Linked DNA regions of Danio rerio. The protein of the gene in region 1 interacts with the protein of each later gene in a biochemical or structural test. Links are inferred from orthologs where the notes say so. Each region holds a gene or a part of one and is shown in the gene's direction. Other genes may lie near its edges.

Evidence for each region.
Region 2: of the proteins of hdac5 (region 1) and sik2b, one has a biochemical effect on the other in vitro, tested with the Homo sapiens proteins (2 studies listed by BioGRID). The link is inferred for Danio rerio from reciprocal best matches to the Homo sapiens genes HDAC5 and SIK2.

What each region holds. Positions count from the first base shown.
Region 1 is NC_133178.1:21,696,136-21,699,967, forward strand, and holds part of hdac5 (histone deacetylase 5), read left to right. Parts: intron 1-623; coding exon 624-736; intron 737-3,448; coding exon 3,449-3,568; intron 3,569-3,832. UniProt on the Homo sapiens protein: Responsible for the deacetylation of lysine residues on the N-terminal part of the core histones (H2A, H2B, H3 and H4).
Region 2 is NC_133190.1:24,253,301-24,257,132, reverse strand, and holds part of sik2b (serine/threonine-protein kinase SIK2), read left to right. Parts: coding exon 1-37; intron 38-130; coding exon 131-415; intron 416-2,235; coding exon 2,236-2,396; intron 2,397-3,832. UniProt on the Homo sapiens protein: Serine/threonine-protein kinase that plays a role in many biological processes such as fatty acid oxidation, autophagy, immune response or glucose metabolism.

The sequences.
Region 1 (3,832 bases):
AGTAACTAACTAGACTATCCTAGCAACTACCTAGCAACCATTCAGAAATCCTTAGCAACAACCTAGCAACATCTTAGTAACTAACTAGACCAGCCTAGCAACGCCTTAGCAAGCACCTTGAACACTCTAGCAACCAATCAGAACGCCTTAGCAACCACCTAGAACACCCTAGCAACCGACTAGCAGCGCCTTAGTAATATAAATGAATAGAAAAATCCAGGTGGTACTGTAGTTCTTATCATATGCACAACTATATCAAAAATAGTTGTGCTTTTAGCTTCACAGAACAGAAAGTTTCTATTGAAGATGTAATTTTGGGGTTGCATCAGCACCTGAGTTGTTCAAACAGGCCTGTGAAAAACAAACCTCTGCCGTCAGATGAGAAGTGTGAAGATTTGCAAACAGGAATAATGAAGGCTCTGGTATTGTGTGATATCTGTGCTGCTAATATAAAAACAGCTCAGAGGAAGGGAACCGTTTTACATCCTGCTGATGCATTAAAGCGGGTTCAATCAATCACTAAATCTAGTGAAATCCTCAGCGATATTTTGTAATGATGCAGCTAAAATGTGATTGTTGAAATGTGTGTGTGTGTGTGTTTGTGTGTGTGTGTGTGTTTTCAGTGTCCTCTATGTGCAGCAGTGCTCCTGGCTCTGGTCCCAGCTCTCCTAACAGCTCAAACTGTGCCATTGCTGAGAATGGATCCAGCGGATCCGTCCCAAACATCCACGCTGAGGTGAGAGACCTACCCCCACACATTTCCTTCACTTCTGTTCACGCATTTTACTCGTTTCTCAATAGTTTAGTAATGAAAAAGACTCAATAAATTGTGATGGCCTGGGCTAATACTGGTTAATCTCGAAGAAAAAAAAAAAAACACGTTCTGGGAATCAGTTTTGAAGTTGTTGCTATGGGTTCTAGAATGGCCGCAACTGCTCTGGATGGACAACCGGAAGCTGCTTAGGGTCACCTCTGCATGCTAAACAGCTAGTCTTAAGGATCACCTTAACCTTGAGAGCTGGAGAGAGTGAAATTGAGTGTGCACATGCCAGAAAAGGCTTAAAGCTGTAGAGGCAGAACACAGGATTTGAATGAGCTTGTGTTTGATTTTTGGATGACTTAGTCGCTAAATGCAAAGCAAAACACTTTTGTTAGACAAATATTTGGCATTTTATTTTACATTGATCTTGCATTTAAAATGCATATAATTATGCTGAATAATTCATGTAATTGCTTCATGTGCAATGTATTTGGCTTTTTGTCTTGAATAATTATTTTTTGAGAGAGATAAAATAATCTTAATAGTAAATTTTTTATTAAAATACAAATATGTTATAATTATAAATGACCACATGTTGGTTTATTAGATTATAAATAATAGAATATATATATATATATATATATATATTCTATTATGTAAAAATGAGCTTTTTTTTTTATAATTTCTTAGTAAGCATGGTTTATTATTAGGCAATCCATAGGCTATATTTGTCAATACAGCTGATGTAAAAGCATTTTTAATGTTTAAGATTAAATACTGTTTTTTGGAAACCGAATGTGTGTGTTTATTTAACTATTAATGTTATACTTTTGAAAGATATTCTTTAAAAGATCTTCTTTCACTCAGCCAGATTGCTTGCGTTTCCGCCTATACAAGAAAACAACTTGTTACGTTTATTGCGACGGGCATTGTCGCTGTCCACTCGGGAAACACAACCCATTTGGTTCACTCCGCAAGCTTGCAAGCTGTGTGTGCGCAAGTCTGTGTTGCGAGCTATGTTTGTGCGTATCGCGCGAGCCTCCACTGAGTGCGTGCGCATAGCTGAAAACTGTGAAGGCTTTTATACAGAAGCACAAGCATTTCTTATGTGAAATTTCTTAACTGAGCTAACGAATATCAAATATTGATAATTAGAAAAGGTTGGTCAGTTAAATTATGCTACTGTAAGTAATGATTATTCAGCAATAATTCCCCAGTACTGATAGCAGAATAAGTACTTATCAATACTTCGGCCTTTTGTAATGTAGCACCGATACCGATAAAATACAGAGCTTCGGTACCCATCCCTATTTTTAAGCCTTGTTTCATACACATGGATGATAATTGAGGTTTTTTTATTTACATTTCATAGTTGTTTTGTGATAATGCAAGGAAGCATTGTTATTTAGGAGTGCATCAGTGGATGGCTCATGGAGAACCAATGAAGTATTAATTACTAAGTATAAATAACTATTTATGTCGTATGATGTTATTTACAAATATCTTTGACAATTAAGTACCTTATGCAAGTAATACTTTAGTGAACCCTCTAGACATCACTTTTGGCAACAAATGTACCTTTAATATATATACAATTACTCATATTATGTTGTACTGCTTTGGTTGTATTATAGTCTAAATATGGGGTGTTTTGCATGATTGGCAAAAAAAAATCAACCATATTCATACATGATTTTTACATAATGGTTTAGCTAGTGGTACATTATGTGTTGGGTTTTTCCATGACCTGTATTTTCATGATAGAAATCATGTGATTTTAGCTTCCCTTTGCATGGGGTGTGCTGGAATAGATCTTTCATCAGACTCATCAACCACAGAAAAGGATCCCATCAAATAGCGCCTGTGGAGATGACTTAAGAATCACCTCATTAGCTCTATCTGGCGTTCAAAAGCTACGTACCACTCCCCAAAATAGTCTTAGATTGTTATTCCAGAGCCTCTGTAGCCTAGCAGTACAACCCCGGGAGAAATGATGGATAAATGCGACGGAGAATAGAATGCTGACATCATTGCCACTGCAGGTACAGCGCTCTGCCATTGAATGTCTGCTTTGTCTTTTGCTTCCTTGTCTTTTCTTAACCTTTGCGTCAGAGTGAGAATGACGCAGCTCAATGAACAGCTCATAATGAAAAGCTTAAATTGGGTCTTTGGGGATGAATAAATGTTGCCTTGTAAAGCAGATCCATTAGTTTTTGTTCTTCGCCTTTAAAAATGGCTGCACTCCAAGTCTAGGGTTAGATGATGGGATTACCAGCACTCAGGAACACCTCCGCATTTCTCACTTAGCTCTCTTTTGGGTCATTTTTTGCTCATTAGAAATTAGAATAAAGACTCTGTGCAAAACCCATTTTAATTATCCTCATAACTGCTTAGTCCATTTCCTGAATCGGTTGCCATCTTCATGTGGCATTGATCCAAACCCAAATACAGATTAGCCATTCCCACATGCTTCGTTCCCTATCAAAAATAAAACTTAGTGAGGATTTCCAAAGAAAAACTCTTTTAAGTGATCGAGCCATGCGGAGACTTCTTGTCTGGGATTCCTTCCTGAGATAAAACAGCTTCTTTCCTTAGAGTTGGGCTGTTTGAAGTGTACATCCTGAAATGCAGGCCTGTTGTTTGTCCTGAGGGACTCATATCTCTCTCTCTCCGTTTCTCTTACGACAGCAGTTACGTTCTCTGCATCAGTCTTTGACTGGCGATGGGGCACCGAGTCCCCTAAGCCTCTACACTTCTCCATCTTTGCCCAACATCTCCCTGGGACTGCCTGCCAACGCCCACATCACGGTGAGTGTCCTTTGCTAAAGCTTGGTGGAGTTTTGATTGTTAAGGTGATTCAGAGTTCACAAATGGTGTAGACTGAATCCTAGTGGATCATTATGGTGCATTCTCAACTAGAGCTGTAGGTTTAGACCTGTCAGTTTGGTTCATGTGAAAGTGTGTTTTGAAAGTCAGAAGCACACCATCGAAGTTTACTAGTCTGCTTGCAAACATTTTCTTGGGTACAAATCATTTGAATTCCTTAATCATTTGAATGGCATCCATCCTAAA
Region 2 (3,832 bases), on another chromosome or scaffold:
GAGGTCACCAACCAGCCAGGGATCATTACAAGTGGAGGTCAGTGTGGCTTATTAGTAAACTAATGCTGCAAATGTTAATTCAACAATTCAATAATGCTTTATAAAGTATGTCATCCTGTTCTTTACCCAGGTAAACTGTTCAGCATGGGTCATAACCCCTCTCTGGGTAGCGTGGACTCAGAGTATGATATGGGCTCCATGCACAGTGACCTCAGTCTGCTTGAAGACGGGCCCTCTCTTAATGAGGTGGTCCTGGCCAACACACCAGTGACCCGCTTGACTCCACCGTTCATCAGTGCTCGGCCCGCGAACCCCACCATGCAGGCACTGAGCACCCAGAGGAGAGAAACGCACAACCGCTCTCCCATCAGCTTCAGAGAGGGCCGCAGGGCTTCAGACACATCACTCACACAAGGTGAAGGGCATATAATATATTTACTTAATAAATGGTATTACAAAAATTACATATTGTGCAGCCCTAAGTGAGATTGCTCACTGATGTTCAAAGGTTGGATGAAATCAAACTTTACAACATTTTGCTAGCGCGTTGTTAGTCTTGAAAAGTGAACAATTAGTCCCTACACCAGGGGTGCCCAAACTTTGTCGAATGAAGGATCAAAAACCAAATATTACTAATAGCTGTGGGTCAAATAAAAGTATACCAAACTGTTTTACATTTAAAAAAACACCATGGGTAATTTTCTAATTAATTTCATAACGTTAAAAAAATAAATAGAAAGCATTATTTTGAATCTTTGAACTTTTATAACTTATGGCAACACATTTATAACACAGTGGAGTTCAATGCTGAACACACTAGGATTCAGAGAGTCTTTGCCTTGATTCGCTCAACAAAGTCTCTGCATTGTCCTCTCTCCGTCAAGTGTACATTTTAAACTAAATCTTATTAAATTTACACTGTTTGCATTAAAACGTTCCATTTCAGATTGAAGCTTAACTATAAAACAAACAAGTATAAGGTTACAATAAATCTAAAATGATATTCTCTAAACCATTCTCAGATGGCATGAAGGCGCCAACTTTGGCCTGCAGGCCCTAGTTTGGGCATCTCTGCCCTACACTGAAAGTAAAGAGTTTGTAATCAAAATCTAACCATTTGCTTCTCCTCTGGAATGACATCAGTTTGATGGCCTGGGGCGAGATATGCTTAGCAACACCCTCAAATCATTCCTTTGCTGCAAGTGAAAAATGAGAGGAGAATTGCAAAAGTAAAACCCCACACCCTTAATATTTGAGTTGGAAATATGTCGTCATACTTAAAAGTCTGCAGTAACTTCCAATTCATATGGGATTTAATTTGCTGCGTTTCATTGAAAAATATATACATAATAAAATATTTAGCAGCTATCAGAATCAGAAGAAATGTTTCTTCAGCATCAAATCAGCATCTTGGAATGATTATGATTCCTGAAGAATCATGTGACATTTGTCAGCTGGTAATATTATTTCTATTTTAAAAATAGTTCAAAATTAGAAATAAAAAACATTACATGATAGATTAACATTAAATGTTAATGTTCTTAACAAGTGTAAAATTTTACATGTTTACTAATAATCACAGTCATTTTAACATTTGTACTGTTATATGTGCATTAGATATAAAAAAATATAAAAAGTAATACATTTTTCTGCTCTTCCTTCTCATTTTCTCACACTTATTATTTTTTTCACACCCTTTCCCTCCCTCCCTGTTTCTCTCTTGTTTTCCTCCTCTAAATGCGCCACCCCCTGTCAGATGATTCATTGTGTGAATCAGAGAACCCTTTGAAGATTAGGCCAAGTCAGTCCTATTGAGTTCTCTCATCCTGTGGCCTGAATAATTACCCTTAATCACTTGAAGCCCTAAAATAACCTAAGAATCAACCCATCTACCCTCTTCCGATAGGCAGCAGAGGAGTCAAGAGCCACTAAACGGCATTTTAATGTGTACTTGAGCGATGAATAAAGCATTTGCAGCCCTGCCTGGACATATCTTGTCCTGAAATAGACTGATTAGCCGTGTTAAGTGAGGTCACGTGGTAGTGGTGCACCGGAGCAGTCAGAGGTGGTGTGGGCTTCAGGGAACAAGAGTCACTTCCTCAGTTCTGACACTCCCATCTGAAAATACATGACCACACATGGATGTAGACACTAAGGGCAGAACGTCTGATGATCTGTAAATCATTCGGAAATAACACTGCTATTATTCATAATCTTATTCCTCTCTCTGTGTAGGCTTGGTGGCCTTTAGACAGCACCTACAGAATCTGGCACGTACCAAAGGTATCCTGGAGCTAAATAAGGTGTACGCGCAGATGGGCTCTGGAGAAACCCCATCCCTGGGGCTGCTGAGCCCTCAGGCCCATCCACATGGCTTACTGGACCCTGCACTACAGGTCAGTCCACCAGGAGAGATACTAGATTTACAGATTTGGCTTAACCTGTCACTTTTTTGTAGTATGCCGTACAATCAGGCAGCAGAAAAGGTGTATTTAAAACATCTATCTTTTTTTGTTGTTCTTTATGAACTTAAAGACAATGAAGTTAGTTTGCAAATGAGTTAATGCAGGCAAATTACTTTGTTTAGCCAAACATAAAATGAAAAGTAAATTACCAGTACATTTTAATGTTCATTCATTTACTTCGATACAATGGCCATCAGAGGCATTTACATTTACTGATCAAAATGCTGGAGTTTTGAACAGTGCTGACTTGTTCTCTTATGTAAATAGGAGATTAACTTTTTTTTACAGAACATTATATAAAAGCACTTTAATAACAGAATTTTGTGATGTTGCGATGTACATAGTCACCGACTGACAGTTTTTTTGTGATTATAACAGCAGCACTCTTTTCTAGGCAACTGTCCTTTTAGAATTTCAATACATTCACTAACTCACAAATCACTAACAGCAATAGTCAATATAAGATTATTTACCACTGTGTCATTTACATTCATGGCATCAAGGAATCATTTTATGGGGAAAATATTTAAATGTCATTTGATTAAAGATGATTTTTACATAGGGCTGGGCAATTTGGCTTAAAATCAACATCTCGATTAATTAAACATTTTAACTCGGTTAACTATTATTATTTATTTTTTATTTTTATTTATTTTATTTATTTTTTTTGCCCTCATAGATCACGGTGAAGTTTTCTACAGTAAATGTGCTCACATATTACAAGTGAGAGATTTTTGAATAAAGGATGCATTACTTGATTTTAAAATTATTGAAGGAAACACACACTACTATCAATAATGATCTACTATCAATGATTATTAATTGAACATCAACATTAAACAACTGAAATTAAAGCATACATTGCCTAAATAACTTGCATAAATATATCTTCTAAATCAACTCTTGCATATCCTGTAAATAATATTTTAAACAGTGCATTTCTTGCATCTTCTGTAAACAAGTATTTTACTGTAAAGGAAAAAATGCCATCTCAAGGCATCTCTGGCGCAGCTTACAATCATTGTCAGTGTAATCGTCAAAAGTAAAGCTCAAGAATGGGTTTATAGTCCTTCTTGACCAGAGATCAGATGTGGCCGTGGAAGTATAAACCAGCTACTTCAAAGAGCGGGTTCACGTGACTTAAACACTATTTACTAAAACCATTTAAACAATTACATTCTTCCTTTAAAAATGATAAATGCTTTTATTAACTATCCATGTTTTTGGAAAAAAAATCTTGCAATTGATAGTGTGCTTCACGCAGATGAGTGGGCTTGACAAACTACCTGTAGAACAAAATTTCTCTCTTCTGTATGTGCTGAGGGGAGAGGAAATAAAGCATCTGGTAAATGCATAAATGTAAACAT